Diceros bicornis minor: one gene and its partner. The protein of the gene in region 2 interacts with the protein of the main gene of each other region in a pairwise test. Links are inferred from orthologs where the notes say so. Each region holds a gene or a part of one and is shown on either strand. Other genes may lie near its edges. The genes, in order: DUSP13B and CALCOCO1.

Region 1 (9,360 bases), on a different chromosome or scaffold from region 2:
AGTGTCCAAATTCTTGTTTCGACTTTAATTTCTTAAATTTAAAGGTAATGTATTAAATCTTTTTCTTAAAGATCTAAATTTGTCTGGTATTTAAAATAAACAAATTTAAGAAATAAATATGAAGAAAAAAAAGAAACACTATTGCTGCTAAAAGAAATCCAAATGATATCTTTATTTTTAGAATCACTCCTTTCACTATCTTTTCCAAACAACACTTCCTTTTCACTACTTTTCCCAGTCCTTTAGCAAATCAGTGTTTAACACCGCCCCTCCCATCCCAGATTCTTAAAAGAATCCACTGTCCACAAACGAGAAAGCCCCATAATCCATTACCCTAGTGATCTTCGATGCTTTGAAAGACACACGTGAAAATGCCAAAGCCCTAAATTATATCCCTGAGGGCTCCTTGTCTTTCTTGACCACAATTCTCTTCTTCGGCCCTTTAGGCCAGCGACTTCCCACCGGACAGCCCGTCCTTCTCCCAGTCAAACCTAAATCCTTTGCCTAATTACCCCCACCCCCACTTTGGTCAGCGATCTCGTCAGTCTCAACCCGGTTCCCTCTCTCTCGCCATGTGGTAGCATCGACCCTGGTCCTGCTCCTCTGATCCCTCACCCCCACACCATCTCTTCCTCCGGCCCCACACTCATGCGGGACCCCTTCAATCTTCTTCCCTCACTATCCTGCTTTCAAAAACCTCCGAGCCCTTGCCTCTTCAAGGCCACATCTCCATCGGTCTCCCACTCCCCGTCACCCGTCAGCCTCCACTCACCCCTCAGCCTCTGGCCATCGTCACCCCCTTCAGGCCCTTGGCTCAACAACCTCCATTTCCCTCAGATTCCATTCTAAAGCTGCAGCTCCAAGCTCCCTCAACCGTCTCCCGGGGCCCCTCCGGATCCTCGGCCTCAGCAGTCCCCGCCTCCATCCCTGATTCCCCACTCACCCTCGGCTGCAGGCGCCCCCCAAACTCCCCTCTCCTCCGCCTCTGCTCCCGCTCACCTCCGCAGTCCGAGTCGGGCTCCCCGGACCCACCTCCGAGTCGGCGTCCGAGGCGCCGTCGGAGTCTAGGGCCCTCTGCGCCTCGCAGGAGTGAAGAGCCTCGAGCGGCGGGGGCGGAGCCCGGGGAGGAGAGCCTGAGTGGACGCGGGGGCGGTGGCGGCTGCGCGCAGGCATCGCTCCGGCCCGGGTCTCAGCCGCGCCGGCAGCTGCCGGAATCCGAACCGGAACTGCTTTGGGAGGCGGGGCCCTACCGGCGGGGGCGGGGCCCAAACCGGAAGGGACGCGGCGCTCAAGATGCGCTCTAGAGGAGAACGGAGAAGGGAAACCGCAGCAGGGAAAACCGAGAGCGCATGCGTCAGGCCCAAAGCCGACGCAGAAGGGGCTAGTGAAGGTGGGGCGGGGCCTTTGGGATTAGAAAATGGGGTTTGGGGGCTAAAGGAGGTTTTTCTAAGAACTTTGGAGGGAGTCAGCCCCTTTCCAAGAGTCAACCCCCAATGATCATTGTTACCATTTATTGCCCCTTTATTCTTTGACAGTCCCTATGTCAAATGCCATATAAAAATCTCACTTAATCCTTGGGCCTACTCTATGGGGTATTACAATACAGAAGGACCGAGAAATTTGCCTGAGGTATGGCAGTTAATATGTGCCAAAGCCAGTATTCCTACTCAAATCTGTCTAACCTCAGAATCTATGCTCTTCTCACTCTGCTATACCACCCCATCCTGAGGGAAGTCCCCAACCTAGGCCTAGCATCGGTATAAACCAAGTCCAAAGCCACCTGCTGCCTGGCTCTATCACCTCCTTGGCCTTGCTTCCTCATGCTGTGCAGGGTGGGGTGGACATGAATGCAGACTGCTTCCAAGGGATGTCCTGGTGTGGCCTTTACCCTCAAGCTGGACTCAGGGCCAGGGGCAGCCAGGAGCCTTCCCACCGCAGTTCGTACCCCTCCCAGCCGCATCAGGACCTTCATGCAGTGACCTGAGAGCGGGCGAGACATCTCACCTCTTCTGCCGATAACTAGCTCTGACAGAAGGACAGATGTAGACCTTTCTCAGTTTCTGTTGTGGGGACAAAAGCCCTTATAGGCAGAGGAAATCTCCCTCCCACCTCAAAAATGTTTCTGATGATGGTTAGGCCCTTTGACTTTTCCACCTCCCTTCTTCCCTTTTGACATACATGGCCCCTTTCAGCCTTCTCTTTTGAGAAATCAGCCATCTTCATTACAGAACCATTCTTCAAATCTTCCCCCATGAACCCTGTGGGCACCCTTTAGATGAGGTCAGGTCCTCTATGCCTCCTCTCCACTTTTCTGTGGCTGTACAACTCAGGAAACTTCCCCTGGGCCCCATAATCTGAAGGCTCATCCAACAGTCATACGGTTCCCACCTAGTTTGTGGCGCACCCAGACCTACAAAACTTTTTCTGTCATTCATCCTTGGAGCCTACAACCTCCTCTCCACCCTGGATCTCTACTTTAATTCAGTCCTCACAACCAAATAGCCTTATTCAGGGCTCTAAATCTGTTATTTAAACACCTTTTTTTTACAGCATCTACTATGTGTTAGACACAGAACATCATTTGTTTCATTTAATCCTCACAATTCTGTAAGGTAGGTGTAATTATCTTACTTGACAGGTGAAGAAACTGAGATTGAGAGAGAAAGTGACTTGCAGAGGTATGTCTGATTCTATGTTGTCACAGAGTCTGGGGATGGGAGAAACTTGGGGAGGAAAAGGTCCTGTTTTCTGTATAGGCCTCTGTGACTTGCTGAGTCAGAGTCACTTGCTGCTGTCCCACCTGTCCCTGCCAATCTCCGGGAAGGAGAAATGACACTGGAGAGGCAGAGAGGAGTGACTGCAGAGACAGAGGAGTGGGTGGGCTGGCCCATGGCTGAGGCCTCACTCCCAGAGCAGAGGGGAGATGCCGAAGCCACGCCTTGCCCCAGCGTCCTGGAACTGGAGGAGCTCCTGAGGGCGGGGAAAGTTTCTTGCAGCCACGTGGACGAAGTTTGGCCGAACCTTTACATAGGAGATGCGTGAGTGGTAGCTGGCCCAAGAGGTGTGGGGGTGGGGACAAGGAGAGGCCGTTCTTGGGCTCTTTACCAGAGATGGGAGTGGGATGGGAACAAGGAGAAATACTTCTGCTCTGAGCATCCCAGGCCAAGGACTTTCTCCAGGACCCCCATGTGCTGGGGACAGTGCAGTGACCAGGTGTAGCCACCAGGGGGAGCATGGACTTTGCCTGCCTGAAAGATGAGAGCTCCCAGTTCCTGGAGTCTTCTGGCACAACCAGGACAATTGGCGAGTCTAAGCGGGTAGAGGTCTGAGGAATGGTGATTTGGGGTATGAGATGGGGTGACAGAGCTCCCCTTCCCAGTCCCAGCTTTCCTCCTCTGGACACAAAGTGGGTGAGGAAGCCTGACTGAAGGTGAATCAGGGAAGGTGTCACTTCTAAACATTTGCATCATTAGGTATGAGGTAGTGGCCAGGAGAGGCCGGATGTGCGTGGGAGAGCACGGGGCAGGAAGGGAGGGGCAGCTGGGTCCCAGGGCTGAAGCAATCCTTTCCCTCCTGTCGTAGCCAAGGCAGGGGCAGATAGCCTCAGGTAGCAAAGACGGCCTAAAGATAACTCCTTGTACCACCACCTCTTCCACCAGAAAGCTCTGAGGGTGGGGCTGTGAGCTGTGGACCCCATCTCAAGCTTGCTGGGTTCCTTCCAACTCCCTTTGGACCCTAAAGGCTTCATCCCTCTGAAACAGGGGGCCAAGCAGAGCCACCTTCCTGGACCCCATGGCTCAGCCAGCATCCAGCCCCTTTCCTCCCCTCCCCAGGACCACAGCAAATAACCGCTTTGAGCTATGGAAGCTGGGCATCACCCACGTGCTGAACGCTGCCCATGGGGGCCTCTTCTGCCAGGGCGGTCCTGACTTCTACGGCAGCAGTGTGACCTACCTGGGGGTGCCAGCCCCTGACCTCCCTGATTTCGACATCAGTGCCTACTTCTGCTCTGCAGCTGACTTCATCCACCGTGCCCTCAGCACACCTGGGGGTAGGAGTTGGGGTGTGAACCCTCATCCCATCCTGCTCAGTCACTGGGGGGATGTCCAGTTTCCCCTCAAACATCAGTCCCCTCCTATCCCTAGTTTTTAAAAAGCCATCAAGTTTTTTAAAATCCTCTGCTCAGTGCTCTAGCAATTTATCCAACTGCATTGCTTCACAGATGGGGAAACTGAGGCCTAGAATACAAGGTCATGCCATGAATTAGGAGCAGCCCTGGGGCTAGAAGCCAGGTCTCCCAAACAGCAAGATAGTTCTTTCTCTCTGCATCCCTCAGCCTTGGGAAATCACCATTTGGTACCTAGATATCTGGTTTCTCCCCCAGGGTACTACCAAATGGAAAAAAATCTCCTAATACCCAGGGTACAACAAAGGAGCCTGGGAAAGCTGGAGCCCCTGCCCTTTGCATCCTGGATGAGAGCTGTGCCCTTGCTACCCCCCCATGGGCAAGCCAGTGTCCCTCTCTGGACTTCAGTTTCTCATCTGTATGATGGGAAAGACAAAACTATGGCTCATAGCACTTTTTAATATCCAAAGCACTTTGACATCATTTGTTCTTCATCCATTCATTCACCAGCTATGTATTATCTTCTGTGTGCCAGGCACAGAGCTAGACACTAGGAATCTACACTTAGACAAGGCAGAGTCCCTGCCCTCATGGAAAGACAGTCAAAATGGGAAGTATTATGAGTGCTACTCATATGAGTGGGCAGATGTGAAGAGCTATGGCAGCACAGGGCAGGAGTGCTCAGAGGATCAGGGAGGTGGGGAGACTTCCTTCTACAACAGTATTCACTGGGCCACATGCAAAAAGGATGAACCACTCTGTGATTCAAGCGATACCATGAATGGTTAAGAAAGCCTAGGTGAGGAAGCCATGTCTCAGCTGAAACCTTACCGATTAGTAGTAGAAGTTAGACTAAGAGCAGGGAAAAATTTTACAGGTAGTTGAAATAGCATGTGCTAAGGCTGGAGGCCAGAGATCATGACAGCTTCAAGGAACTGAAAGTTACACAGTGTTCCTAGAGCTGAGGGTTGGGTGGGATGGCCTGAGGTGAGTCTGCAGGTTCAGTAGGGGCCAGTGCACAGAGGGTCTTGTAAGCAATGTTAAGGAGTTGGACCCCATCCCAAGGGTAGGCAAAAGAGGTATTGGTCTACTCATTTGACAGATCAGGAAACTGAGGCCCATAAAGGCTGAATGACTTGCCCAGGGTCACAGATGCACCTAAGGCAGAGCAGGGAAAGGAAGTTGGGTGTCCACCCCAGCCCCTGGGTGGGGCAGCTCGTGGGAAAAGGTCTTTCACCAGGATGTCTTCCTCAGCCAAGGTCCTGGTGCACTGTGTGGTAGGTGTGAGCCGCTCCGCCACACTGGTCCTGGCCTACCTCATGCTTCGCCAGCAGCTGTCCCTGCGCCAGGCGGTGATCACTGTGAGGCAGCGCCGATGGATCTTCCCCAACCGAGGCTTCCTCCACCAGCTCTGCCAGCTGGACCAGAAGCTGCGTGGTGCAGGCCGGAGCTGAGGGGCCAGGTGAGGGCTGGGCAGGGCATGTGGGGGCGGGGGTGGGAGGGGGCTGAGTGCAGTTAGAAGTGAGATCAGGTGAGGGGTGGGCAGGGAGAATGGAAGGGGAGGCTGGTGAGGGCTGAAAGTGAAAGGTCAGATGAGGGGCTGGGCAGGGGCAAGGGTACAATTGGAAGAAAGGGCTCAGGTGAGGGCTGGCAGGGGACATGGGTGGGACCAGTTCAGAGGTTGGTTGTCGGGGCTGTGTGTGGCAGGAAGTGAGGGTTGAAGACAGCCTGGGCCACTCCTCAACCTGTTGGGCTCCCCTCACCAACCCAAGGTCTCAACAGGCCCCAGCCAAAGCAACCCTCTGGTAGGACCCTCTCTCTCACCCAGCCCACCCAGATTCCTGAGCCCCCAGAGAAGATGAAAAGGCTAGGAAGGAAAGGGGTAGAAAGCATGAAATGGAAGAGGTGAGGCCTTCCTCCCTGGTCCTGATACTGACTTGCCCTGCCTCCTTGGCAGATAGCCTGTGGGGCTCACCTGAACCCCACCAAGGCAGCAACACAGCCAGTCCTGGCACCTGAGGACTGCCTGGACCTTCCTGCACCTCTGCATCCCTTCCCCTCAGGTCTGGACCCCAGCCACAGCTCTGGGGAAGTAGAGTGTGGCTGTGCTATGAATCCAAGCTTAATTAATTCTCATGTCAGCCCTCCCTCCCCATTCCCATCATGGGGAAGGAGAACAGGTGCTCCTGCCCCCAGCCAGGACCTCCTCACACAAGCCTTGCTTGATACCAAGTTCTCCTATCATCATGCCTTTTCAGTTCTCTGCCTTGGACCCAGCACCCCACTCCCTCCCCCAATCTGAGCTCAGAGATCTACAGAAGGACCCTCCCTAACTGCCCTCTCTCTCTGGTTCTGGTGACCCCTTTAGGGCAAAAAGGTCTTCCTGAAGTCTATCCTCACTCCTTCCTGCTTCCGTTTACCCCCTGCCTTTTTGTTCTGTGTTCAGTGCATTTGGAGCAATAGCAGATGGTCCTTAAGATGCACAAGGGGAACAGGTCCCCAGTACCTCCTCTCCCCAAGTGTCCTCCCTCCTGCTGGAGGCTCCAGTGTCCCCAGCTGCCCAGTAGAAGGAGTTGGGCTCCCCCAGCAGCAACACTGCTTCTCAGGCTCCCAGCCCACAAATGCTCACCGAGGTGCTGCTTCCATTTCTTTGGCATCAATCCCGTGTTTTCCTCCAGCTCAGCTGGGAGGAGGCAGGGGTGTCTCTTCCTGGGGTGGAGTGGCTGTGAGGGCACCAGGATTGTGAGGGAGCTGCAGAGTGCCCACTGCCCTTCTTCTCCCACCATGCCCAGGCTGGGTCTGTCCCTGTCTGGCCCCAACAGCCCGCCTTCCTCACACTCACATCCCTCCGAGGGCCATCAGCTGGGGGTTAGGCCTCTGGGGCGGCTCTCTGCTCCCCCTACCCTGCTTGCAGCTCCTGCTACCCATACTGCTCCTTCCCTCATCTCTCTTCAACACTGACTTTGGCTATGCCCCAGCCATTGGCTCAGAGGGGCTGCCTGCTCTGGGTGGGTGACTGGCCTAGGCTCTCCTGGGAGTTGGAAAAGCAGCAGGTTTCTCCTCCTGCCGAGAGCTTCCGGGGCATGGCCGGAATCTCCTCCTGCCCCCCACCCATAGGAGCTGTTTTGTCTCTGAACGCATACCCGCCCAACCAAATGGAAGCACTTGAGCAATATCAACCCCTTCACACAAGCTGTCGGGAGGATGAGCATCTTGGCGATGGGGATTAGGGCAGGACAGAGGGTTTAGAGTTTCAGGGGTGAGTGTAATGGGAGAAAATTAGGGTTATAGCTGGGGTTGGGATTAAGTCTGGGCTGAGCTGGGTGGGAAACTGTTGTGGAGAGCTCTACAGGTATGAGGAGCCAAGAGAGGGGCAGGAATGGCATGTTCCCGTCCTACTCTCTTTCCTCTAAACAGGTTTCAGGAACCTGGCAGAGCAGTAGATCTCTGATCATGCCCAAATCACTCCACTTCCTTGGCCTGGGCCCTTAAATGTCCTGACCTCCAACCTCAGCATCTTTCTCATCAGGCAGCTGGCTTTGGAGGAGTCAGTTGGGCTACAGCATTGCACAATTCCCCAGGAGTTGTGCAGCGTGCAGACTGTGCAGCTGTACACAGCAGCCCTGGGGCTGGTGACTCTGAAAGATGAGGAGGACAGTCATTTCTCCCCATGAGCCCTGGGCCCCAAACCCGCCTCCTCATCTCTCCCAGCACCTGTACCCACTTGACCAGGCACGGAAGGCTCAAGGCAGAAGCAGATTTAGGTGGCTCCTAATCTTGCTCCTGCCCTGATGAGTCCCAGCCAATCTGGGCCTTGGTTTACCTGCCTGTAACATGGAGCTCATTTCTCCCCCAGAGCCGGTCCGCACACCCTGCCACAGGGCTCTGCCACTTTGCCACCCTGGCGCTGGCCCTGCTGGTGCTGCTGGAGGCTCTGGCCCAGGTGGATACCCAGAAGATGGTAAGAGCCCAGTATGGGGTCCGCCCTAGAGCCTGCTACTCCATCTGCTTCCTCCAGCTGCCTGCACTCCCTCTCAGTCACTGTCTTCAGTCCCCACAGGTGGGAATGGGCTGCCCTCTCAGCCAAGACCTGAGATGATTCAGCCTGGGACCCCAAGTTTCCTTGGGGCAGCGGGGGGAGCGTGGGAGGAAAGCGGGAGGGGATTCTTAGTGTTCATGATAGCCCTTGGCCACACCTGCTTCCACCATTTCTCCCCAGGGCTCTGGGAGCCCCAGCAGGGGCTGAGCCCTAGCTCCCTGGAGCTCAGACTTCAGAGACCCAGTGTAGGGGCAGCTGTGGGTATGCGTCTGTCTCTGTGTGTGTCAGTTCTCTGGGGGTGTGAGCGGGAAGAGTCCTGAAGTATGGGTATATGAGGAGGGTCTCTGGATAGCAGGGAGTGTTCTTAACAGGCCCAAATCTAAGGTCCCTAACTGACCACAGTTAGCCTTGGGAAGGACCTTAAAGACCATCTTGCTGAGTCTTTAAGGCCCAGTGGGGCCTGGGCCAGGAATGCCTTCTCGGGGAGAGAGGAGCTTGGCAGAGGGCAGAGTGGCTTCTGGATACACAGTTTCTGACTGCCGGCCAGAGCTGGTCTAAAGACCTGCTCTGAACCCCACTTACGCCTTTGTCTGTCTGTCTACCTGCACTTTCCTCAGGCTGCGTCTTCTGGTTCTTATCCTGGGCCAGTCCTGTAATCCTCAGCTCCCAAGTAAGGGCCCCTGGACCTGGGTTCTGATGTTGGCAAGGCCACCAGTTTGTGTCTGATTTTGGCTAGTCTCTTCCCTGTCCTCCTCTATGGAAGATCCTTCCAGCTTTAACTTTCTGCCCATGCTCCACAGCACTCTTGAAGGCCAAGGGAGCTGTTAAAATGGCTTATTCAATCTGCCTTCTCTCTGCCTCCCAATCAGCGTTCACATACACACGCACCAGAGGCAGACCCCTGCCAGGCGGCCTCTATTCCCAGCAGGGCTAGGTGCCCAGCTGGACTTGGCACTGACCATGCCATGGGACCAGTGGGTGAGTTGGGAGTGGCAGGGGGAGGCCAGAAGAGGGGAGCAGCACATCATGCTTTATAATTAAACTCAAATCAAAAAATAGAAACAGCATCAAGTGTGCAGAGACAGGCGGCTGGAAGCCGGCAGCATACAGTGCCCGTCAGAGAAGACCACAGCCTGGGCCAGATACCCCCACAGGTGGGTGAGTGCCCCTGTTTCAGGGGGGCCACAGAGCATGC
Region 2 (10,225 bases):
GCTGAGGCTACAGCCGAGAGGAGGGTGAAGTGGGAAGTTGCAGTGCTGTCCTCCCACTCCATTGCCCGGGAGCAGTTCTCTTGCTCTGTTCTCACCTGCAGCACAGTTGCCTTGGGAACCACCAGCAGGATGTCAGAGCCACCGTCAGTCTCCTCCAGGGTCACCAGTTCATCCATGGGCCTTGGCTCTCGGAACTGGAAAGCGGGGCTCTGCCCACAGACCCGGCCCTGGCGGTTCACGTATCGGAACTGGTAGAGCTGCGCCCCTGGTTTGGGCAGGTAGCTGGCTGTGGGAAGAACAGACCCAGGACCCCAATATGATCCCAGGCCCTCAAGTGCTCAGCAGGTCCCCCTTCCCCTTGGCATGTCTTAGTATCCATTGTCCTGACTCCAGCCCCTTGCTCCTTGTTCCATATACTATTTTCTCTCCTCTCCACCTCCCACAGGCTATTTCTGTTTCCTGGAATACTCTTCTCCCTCCTTTCTGCCTAGTCCTCCCCTACTTCTCCTTCTCAAACCTACCTTCCTCTATAATAATAATAATAATAATAATGCTAGCTACCATTTACTGAGCGCCCACCACGCACCAGCGACTGTGCTAACAGCTTTACCTGTATCATTTTAATCATCATATTGTCCCTGTAAGCCAGGCATCCCCTTTTACAGTTAAGATAACAGACACAGAGAAGTTAAGTAATTTGCACAAGGTCAAACAGCTTGTAAGTATTACAGCTGAGATCTGAACCCAGGTCTTTCAGAATCTAACGACCACTTTCTTCTCAATATATGACGCCACCTTTCCCTCTTCCCTACCCGCTAGCCCGTCCTTCCTTTGGTAGGAGGTGAGATTAGCTGCCCTCTACAGTTCTTTCCATCTCTAAATCCCTGATTCTGTGATAATCCCATGATTCTATGTCTGCTGAGCCCTGTTGAATGTATTTCTTATTTTATTTATTTGCACTTATTTTTCTTTGTCCTCTATGCCTAACTTTTACGCTTCTGAGCCCACTATCTTCTTCCAAATCTCCATCCCCCTGGCTCCTCCCTTTGGTTTTCCATCTTCCCTCGTACCTTGGAACTGGACACTGGCATGGACGGGGGAACCATCAGCTGCACTTTCAGGCACAGAAGACCACACAAATGTGTGGTAATCCCGAACACAGGCAGCCTCCACCTGTGAGAGCCCAAAGTGGGAGAGCGGTATGGCAGTGGAACTACCAGCTGCAGATGGCAGAAAGGGCTGAGGGAGTTAATGGCAGGATAGGATGGTGTTATGGTGGCAAGGATGATGAGAGACAGAGAAAGTGGAGGAACACTAATGTGTCAGGAGAGAGCAAGGCTAAGACGAGGAGAAGATGGCCTCTGTCATCTGTGACATCTTTCTCCCTACTTCTCTATCAACATGAGGCTGAGAATCCAAGAACCTAGTCATTCCCCTTATTCTGACCAACCCATGGCCCATGAACCTGAGCCAATAGGGGTTCCAGGGATACCTTGAAGATGCCAATCCAGTCGCTGGCACTGGGCATGGTGCCTGGGGGAAGGGTGTAGTGACATTCCACCTTGGTGTTGGGGATGTAGGTCCGGGCTACGTTCAGAAAGTTGACTCCACCCCGGGACGGTGCCCGGCTTAGTGACGATTCTTCCATCCTGCCCTTGAGATATCTGCCCTCCTATGAAACAAAGGGTTAATATCCTAAAGTCTCTCCACTCCATCTCTTTCTTCCCTAACTCCATCCTCACCCACCCACAGCCCTGCCACTACACCTGGAGATGAAGGCATATCTGCTTTCCAGCCCCTGAGGGTTACAGGAATCTTTAGAGGTATCATCCTTAGTCTCCAGGACAGAGGTCTGGTCTTCTGAGTCAGTTCCCACCCTGTCTCACTGCACCCTCTCTGAGTCACAGACTCTTCCTAGAGTTAAGATCTCTCTAATTTCTGCTCCCTTTTCATAGCCCCATTGACCAAGTCTCAGTGTCTCAGGCTCTGCCCCGCTCAGTCCCTCCTTTTCCACCTCTTAATGTCCTTCTTAATAGCCTCCATCTCCCTGTCCCATCCCCCACATCTTTTGGCTCTTGAATTCAAAATCCAACTGAGGTGTGGGGCCCCTTCATTCTGAGCAGATCTCCTCGCCCACTCCAGCTGTACCCAGGAATGACTTATGACACCTGAAAACAGCAACAACCTCTGAAAGCAATGATTGAGTCTTCAGAGCAGGAATATGGCTGGGGGGACAAGAGCCCAATCTTCAGGCCCCTGAGCTGTCTGTCCTCTCCCTCTTTCTGAGCTGTCTACCCCCATGAATAAAAAAAGGCTTCTGTTCTTATCCAAGACACAAAGGGAAAGGGAGGATATAAAGAAAGACAGGTCCTGTCCCTCAACTTCATTACTCCAGGAAGTCAAGAATTCTGGAGGCGGCTGCTTCAAGGGTGGAGTGCAACACTCCGCAGGAACGTGGTGCTGTGGGGCGATGGAATGTGGGGGCCTGGAGCCAGGAAAGCCCTGCCCCTGGCCAGGGGACAGACTGGAAGGTGGGAAGTAAGAGGCTCTGAGAAGGGAAAAATGTATATATAGTGTTGAGAGAAGGAGGAGAGAGTTCAAAAAAAACCTAACATTCTTCTCTTCAGGTCTTGCCTGGAGCAAGACTAGAAACCTACTGGTTTGACTGTATGTTAACCCAGCCCTAGTATTTCCCTCCCCATTTTCTCTCTCCTTCTCTTGGCCTCAATTCCAAGTGCCTGAATCCTTCCATCTGCTTGGATTGGTAGTGGGAGGCATGCTATAGGATGGGATTGAGAGGGAGAGGTGTCCCAAACTGGGTGGGGAGAGTTAATTGGAAAATCTGGGGGTGGGTGAGGAAAGATAACAATAACAATCAAGAGAACTCCTCAGCCCAGAGTTGTGAGATGGCCCTCTCATCTCTCCTCTCCAGCCCCCTAACCTTCACCCTGTGTCAGCAGCACCTGACAGTGTCCAATCAGCCATGGCCACTAGTCATGTGCATGCCCCCAAACATCACAAACCCACACCACGCTGAAGTCAGGGGGGCAGGAACTTTAAAAGAAGACAGAAACTCAGTACAGAAGGAAAGGTGGGCAAGCTCTGCAAAAAGGAGTAACATCTCCCTCCAAAATAGAGACTGACTTGAGGACAAGAGATTTCTTTGGCTTTTCATTTCTCTGAAAAATCCCTAGTTAAAACTAGTGCATGTTTTCTCCAAATACGATTCTTCTGGCTTTCTAAAGGAATGACTTGTCCCCAAAGATCTAAGCCGGGGGAACCCCAAATATGCCCCACAAATAAAATCCATAACAGCTGGAAACATTCCCCAGGCCTGAAAGAAAGCTCTGGGCACCTAAAGTGTATGTGTGTGGTGAGATTCAGGTGTTCAGAGGAAAGGGGTCCCATCCCCCCACTCTGTAGGACTCTAAAGTTCCTTGACATTCTACAGCTTGGAATGTTTTTTCTCCAGGGATTCAGCGTAGTAAAGGCCTTCGGATGGGGTACGGGAGGTAAGGGGAAAGGGAAGGTTTGTGGTGGCCAACCCGTGCCTGGGAGAAAATGAACAAAGATTTCACCTCCCCCCAACTCCCCTGAGCGTATCAAGCTTTACAGAGAAGGACTGAGAGGTACGTGAGAACAGCGAGGGGGCAACCCCCTGATCAGGGCCCCCCTGAGGCCAAGAACTCCCCAAAACAGTAGTGGTGGCTTCTCCAGTACGGAAAGTGTTAAAACCCAAACGCTCCTCTATCCCCCTTCTACAGCTCCCTTAGATTATCCTTTCACAGACTGGAAAGCGGGGTGACCCCCCATAAGATCACCCCCAAATTAGGCCAAGTTTCTTACCCCTCAGACGGATCAGCTGTTCCCTCACCTTTCACCAACAACAAAAACAGCACTCCGACTCGGGGTGGGGAGGGAGAAGAGTGGGCGCGAGGGCTTCTGGGGTTTGTGGTTCCTCTGCGTCCTTTTGCCGGCGAGCCTGCTCGGATCTGGGACTACGCAACCCAGGAGGCTGTGCGCAAGGAGGGCGGAGCAGAGGGCGGCCGTGGAGGCGGCCTCACCACGGCATCCTGGGAGGCGTAGTTCTCACTTCCGTGATGGTAAACGAGGGTATGTCCACCAAAGGACTTCACGGCCCATGATTCCTTAGGAGAGGGCCGGCTGTATTAGTGGTGACTACTGGTTTGTAACGTGCGTGGTTGGGGGGTGGGGAGGAGTTACGGCTCTAACGCCTCCTGTGCGTGTAGCGCTTTGCAGGGGGCGGAGCGTGTTCGGCTTCACGCTCCCGTTTACTTTTCGCAACAACGTGTGAGGTTGGTAATACGCATTTTACGGATGAAGAAACTAAAGCTCAGAACGGTTAAGGCAGCAGTCTCAAGTAGCAAAGCTGTAAGATGGTGGAACTCCATCTGTAAGATGGTAGAACTTTGCCGCTACCATTGAGGGGACGGGGAACTGATGGCTGCGCTAGCAGTTTCTTCTTTGCGTCAACCTCAGGGACAGCCCCTGTAAAAACTGTGTGTTGTGTACTGCTGGCTATTTTTTTTCCAACTTGAGAGTTTCAGTGCCAGGGACCTGGACTGGGCTGCCGTAGTGTGGTCTCTAGGTCGAGGAAGAGGATCCATTGTCTGAAGTGTGTGTGTAGGGGGAGGTGAAGTAAGAACGAAGCTGAAAGGGGAGCCTGGCATAGTTCAGGGCCGGTCACAGCTCACCAACAAGCCACTTACAGGGGCTGGTTTGCCCAAGCCTTTTAACTGGCTTAAGCTAATCAGGATAACAATACATGTTGTTGCTCTTGTTTTTATCGGGTGTGTGTGTGTGTGTGTGTGTGTGTGTGTGTGAAAGATTCATACTCTTCCCATACCCCAAGTCACCGTTAAACACTGGGGCATCATGCCCCACCCCTCCTTCCCTGGGACCTTCCAGATCGTCTGAGGCTTTTGAAACCATCTCTCTCCCTGTCCTTGTATTAAGGAATTACAGTCTAAGGATTGATTTGCTCTTCCTGGTACCTGCTTTAATTCCCTGCTGCACTAAGTTATGGAGCCTCTGCCTTTCCCATGTTTTTTGGTAGTATTTTGCTTTTATGACTGAATAGGGTGTCTTGTGCCTGCCCTTGGGTCCCTTTCATCTGAAGATCTCCAAGCACTTAACAATAAGTCACTGGGCTTCACAAACATTAAGGTGACATGTCTGTGTCATTAGTCAGGATTTATGAGTTAGAAAACAGGCTGCTGGGGGAGGAGACGGCTCAAGGTCTAGAGTGGGTTAAGAGTGAGGCTCGTTCAGGGAGGCAAGTCTCAAGTGTTCTTGGTTTTTGTCTTCCACCCAGAATAAAAGCTTGGAAGAAAACTCAGTCTCAGCTGGAGCTAAAAATAATAACAACTTCCATTTACTGGGTGCTTATAATGTGTTTAAACTATGCTAAGAATTTTTCCATTTGACACAACAACCTTATATAGTAGGCCCTATTATTATCCCCATTTTACATATGATGAAGATTGAGGTGCAGACAATTAAGTGACTTAACTAGGGTCATCCAACTAGTAAGTGGTAGAATCAGGATTCAAGCACAACTAGTCAATACACCATACTCCCACCCCAGAAACTCCTGGTATGTGATACTAACACTGATTGTTCTAAGGAACAGTGCTATTAATTAATAAGGGGACGAATGTTCCCTTGCATTTATGTGCAAGGCACAAGTTGATGTGAAACAGATTCATTGAACAAATACATGTGTCAGGCACTATGCTAGGTATTCAATACAGTTTGCTGAAAGAATGAATATAAAATATAGATATTTGAAGGATGGATTAGATTTGGATAGTTTGGCAGGACAACGTCTAGGAAGGATAAGCTCATTTCAGGCTGAAGCAAAGGTTCACAGGTTTACTGGAGGCTAGGAGGTCACATAAGAACAGGGCATCATGGGGCCGGCCCGGTGGCCTAGCGGTTGGGTGTGCACGCTCTGCTACTGGTGGCGCAGGTTTGGATCCCGGGCGCGCACTGACGCACTGCCTCTCCGGCCATGCTGAGGCCGTGTCCCACGTACAGCAACTAGAAGGATATGTAACTATGACTTGCGACTATCTACTGGGGCTTTGAGGAGAAAGGAAAAAAAAAAAGAACAGTGCATCAATTTCAACTTTTTTTTCTTTCAAATTCAGATTATTGGTAATGACTGCCCAATGTTGTGTTGAGAAGGATTCTGAGGCAAGAGTGCTGGGATTAATTAGTAATGTCTGTCATGTACTCCAGATGGAAGATGGCAGTTGTAGTAGATTGATTTATTGTTTGAAAGTGTTTACTTTCTCCTTCCCTGCCCGTTGCCACGTGTCTTGCAGTATCTTCTGTAGAAGGAGTATATGTCTCATTTCATTGACTTTGAACTTGATCATGTTTCATATTTTGACCAATGAGATGTGAACAGATGTGACTCATGCCATGTCTGAGCATGTGAGTTTCCTTTTCTTGTTCTCTCCATTAGAATGGGCCTATTTCACATGAGAGTTGCTCCTTCTGCCTGTGTCCTGGAATGAGAAGAGCCGTGGAGCAGAGCTGCAGCCTGCCCACAGCCTACGTACACGAAAGTCAGAAATAAACCGTGTTGCTGTAAGCCACTGAGATTTGGGGTTGATGTTGCAGCAAAGCTGACTCATAGCCATACCTGGTTAATGGTGTCAAGGTTGAAAGGTAAGTGGTATCAGGTTTGAAAGGTAAGTTTCAGCTAGAGTGTGGAGAATCTTGAATGCCAAGCAAGGCAGAGCCTGCCATGTGTTTATCAGAATCTCTTTCCTTCTTTTTCTTGGACACACAGCTGGACTGCATTTTTCAGTTTCCCTTTAAGTGACATGTTCCACTTCCAGGCCTGGCCCATGAAACCTCCCAAGGGAGATCCTTCATGTCCTTTCCTTTTTGGCTTGATGTGTATGATCTTAAGCATAGTGACCTTGAAAGTACAAATGTTAAAGATGTGGGGACAGAGGTTAGAAGGAACCGAGTTCTCTGAATCACCACTTGGCAGAGAATGGCCCGCTAATCAGGAACATGCGTTTTGGACTTCACTTAACTAATAAATCAATTTCTGTTTTGCTACACCACTAAAGTTTTGGGCCGTATAGTAGCTAGTGTTTTTCTAACCACTAATACATCAGGTTATAATGTTTGGACTTCATTCGCATCAAGAATAGGGAGTTAGCCACTGACAATTTTTTTTAACAGGGGGACTAATACTGTGAATACCCGTGGAAGTGACAGTTATTGGGATTACAGAATACTTCTGAGTGAGGTTGTGAGATCTTGGGACTGTTGGTGTTTTCAGATTACAGAGAACTCCTGACTGGGGCTGGGGAAGATTGAAATGATCTTTGAAAGGCTCTCTAGAGGCGTGGAAGGAGCTGCTACAAAATGAATCCTATCTTCCTGAAGTTTAAAGTCTCTTTTCTCCTTTGTGAAAGGCCTAACTCTGGTATTGCTTCTCTAGCCCAGTGCCTGATATATAATACATGGTGAAGGGAAGCTGGTCCTGGACTCGTGGAATGCTTTGAGGAGCTACCACTAGCTGAGTGTCCCCTATATGAGAGGCTCTTTCACCCATCAAACCATCACACCACCACGCAAGGTGCTCTCAAATGTTTCAGACGAAGAAACTGAAACTCTCAGGGTAACTTGCCCAAGGTCTCTCAGACCAAACTTATTCTGAAACCCATGTCTTTTCCAATATAACAAGATGCTTTTGCAGAAAATCATAATGGCTAGTGTTTACTGAGTGCATGCCGTGTACCAGGCACTCTGCTGGGTGCTTTCAAACATGCAGAAGCAGCTGGTGTGTCAGATATTGTAGGCTGTTACTAGTGTTTCCAAACTGTGGGCTCTGTGGGAAGTAGGTGTCAGAGTCTGCTCGGGCTGCCATAACAAAATGCCATAGGCTGGGTGGCACAAACAACAGTAATTTATTTCTCACAGTTCTTGAGGCTGGAAAGTCCAAGATCAAGGTGCTAGCTGAATCAGTTCCTGATGAAGACTCTTTTCCTGCCTTGTAGACAGCTGACTTCTCACTGTGTCCTCACATGGAGGAGAGTGAGAAAAAGCAACCACTCTGGTCTCTACTTATAAGGGCACTAATTCCATCATGAGGGCCCCACCCTCATGACCTCATCTAACCCTGATTACTTCCCAGAGGCCCCATCTCCAGATAGCATCACGTTGCAGTTCAGGGCTTCAACATATGAATTTTGGGTGGACACACACAGTCAGTCCATTACAGTAGGGAAAACATTAACATGATTTTAGAGCAAAGTCTGATTCTTTTGGACTTTTCTTTAGGGCTCCTGACCCATTTTCTTTTGATCCCCTTAGTTCTTTGGCTCCATTTTCCTTGGGCTGGGTGGAAGGGTGGTTTGGGGTTCTTAGTAACACTTACGTCCTGCAGCTCCTGGTTCACTCCATAGACCCACAGACCCTCTCTGATCTCAAAGTGTTCAGATGACCTTAGTCTTTCCTTTATTAGTGGGGAGTAAGATGCGGCTCTGAGAACTCGTCCATCCATTTATTCACATTCATTCGTATTTAATCATTCAACAGATTTTTAATAAACATGTGTCAACTGTTAGAATAATAGCCAATGACATTTGTAGCTTTCTGGTTTCAAAGGCCATCTACATTCTTGGATTCATTTGATCCTCAGAACCAATACTATGAAGTGGATTGTATTATTACTATGTAATTTTTATCAATGAAGAAACCAATGCTTAGAAATATTAAGTAACTTGATCAAAGTCACACAGCTAGTATGAGATTCAAATCAAGAATTTCTGACTCTTAAGTGCTCCCCTTTGCCCTCTATCCATCACAGTCTAAATTCTACAGTGCGCCGAGCCTCATTTCTTGCGATTTTGGCCTCATTACCTTGATTCTGCATTAGTTAGGGTAGATATAACAGCTACAACAGACACCCCCCAGATCTCAGTGTCTTAACATGATAAAGATTTATATGTCATATAGTCCAGTGTGTATGTTTGTGATCAGATAACTCAGGAATCCAGATCTGTTCATGCTGGGGATCTGCCATCTTAAATATGTGGCTTCAGGGGGAAGAGAAAGCAAGTGGAGAATGTACCACTCTTAACTTTCTCAGCGTGGAAGTTACACATCGCTTCCACTTGTATTCCATTGGTGATAACCAGTTATATGGCCTCACCTCACTGCAAGGGGGCTGGGGATGGAGTTTAGCCATGTGCCCATGCCACTCTCTATCAATGTGGGGTTGAGTCAACATTCCAGAGTTGTTCTGGGACAAAAAATGCCTCTGGAGAGAATGATTCTAATCTGTCCACTGTTCATATCTCTATTTGTCTCTCACTCGTTCCACCAGAATTCACAGAGCACCAACTTTGTGAACCACTCATAGCCAAAGATCTCCTGGCTGAAGAACACATTGGAGCCCAGCCAACCAAAATGTTAGTGGGGCATCGGGCCCAGGCTGATTGGTGATGGAAGTGGTCTTTTCCCCTCAAGAGAGTGTTATTCCTATAGTTTTTCTTTATTTTTATATTCTATTGAAAAGTTTAGAAATTTTTACCCTATCACAAAATAAACAGAGCTGTGTTGTGGTCACAATTTAGGTAGTTGATTTCATGAACTTGACAGTTCTATCAGTTTTCCAGCTGTTTCAAAATACTTCTCTCTGGGAAACTGTGTGGGTAGGCATATCCCCTATGCTCCCCAGGCCTCCCCAGTGCCATGGGAATGGAGAGGGTTAACCCTGGAGCCTGGGAAAACAATAAGAAGGCAGCTCAGTCCTCTCGCTGGGAACTGACTCTCATCTGATAGAGAGAATGGAGCAAAGTAGAGAAACTCAAGAGTTCTTTAGGAGGTAGCATGGGCAGGGTGTGGGGTGTGAAAGAGAGGGAGGCAGGATATTTTGATTCTTGAAGTCATTTTGATGCCTGTGGACATATGACCCTAAAAAAGTTAAACTTTAGCTTTTAAAAAAAATTGTCACTTAAGTCACTTAATGTGTGCAACAGACTCCCTTGTCTCATCCCTAACGCAGGGAGAGGGAAGACTCATGGCTGATCCCAGCTTCCTGGCTTGGTGGATGGTGGTCCCTCCTTGAGATGGGGACCTTGGCGGAAGGAGCAGATTTTGGGGTGGGGCTGGGTGGGGTTGGGATGGGGGAGGATGTTCTTCTACTTCTAGACATAGAGGGTTTGAAGTA

What was found.
Region 1: the proteins of CALCOCO1 (region 2) and DUSP13B interact in binary tests that used the Homo sapiens proteins (3 or more experiments, as listed by UniProt). The two-hybrid records come from large-scale screens. The link is inferred for Diceros bicornis minor from reciprocal best matches to the Homo sapiens genes CALCOCO1 and DUSP13B.

The regions. Positions count from the first base shown.
Region 1 is NC_080745.1:31,689,476-31,698,835, forward strand, and holds the start of DUSP13B (dual specificity protein phosphatase 13), read left to right. Parts: upstream 1-5,075; 5' UTR 5,076-5,501; coding exon 5,502-5,588; intron 5,589-6,755; exon of another isoform or gene 6,756-6,861; intron 6,862-7,982; coding exon 7,983-8,186; intron 8,187-9,224; coding exon 9,225-9,319; intron 9,320-9,360. Other genes in the region: SAMD8 (sphingomyelin synthase-related protein 1), read right to left, coding at 1,000-1,173; DUSP13A (dual specificity protein phosphatase 13), read left to right, coding at 2,830-3,038, 3,834-4,152. UniProt on the Homo sapiens protein: Dual specificity phosphatase that dephosphorylates MAPK8/JNK and MAPK14/p38, but not MAPK1/ERK2, in vitro. Exhibits intrinsic phosphatase activity towards both phospho-seryl/threonyl and -tyrosyl residues, with similar specific activities in vitro.
Region 2 is NC_080756.1:16,602,425-16,612,649, reverse strand, and holds the start of CALCOCO1 (calcium-binding and coiled-coil domain-containing protein 1), read right to left. Parts: upstream 3,918-10,225; 5' UTR 3,847-3,917; intron 1,673-3,846; 5' UTR 1,649-1,672; coding exon 1,493-1,648; intron 1,174-1,492; coding exon 1,071-1,173; intron 287-1,070; coding exon 96-286; intron 1-95. UniProt on the Homo sapiens protein: Functions as a coactivator for aryl hydrocarbon and nuclear receptors (NR). Recruited to promoters through its contact with the N-terminal basic helix-loop-helix-Per-Arnt-Sim (PAS) domain of transcription factors or coactivators, such as NCOA2.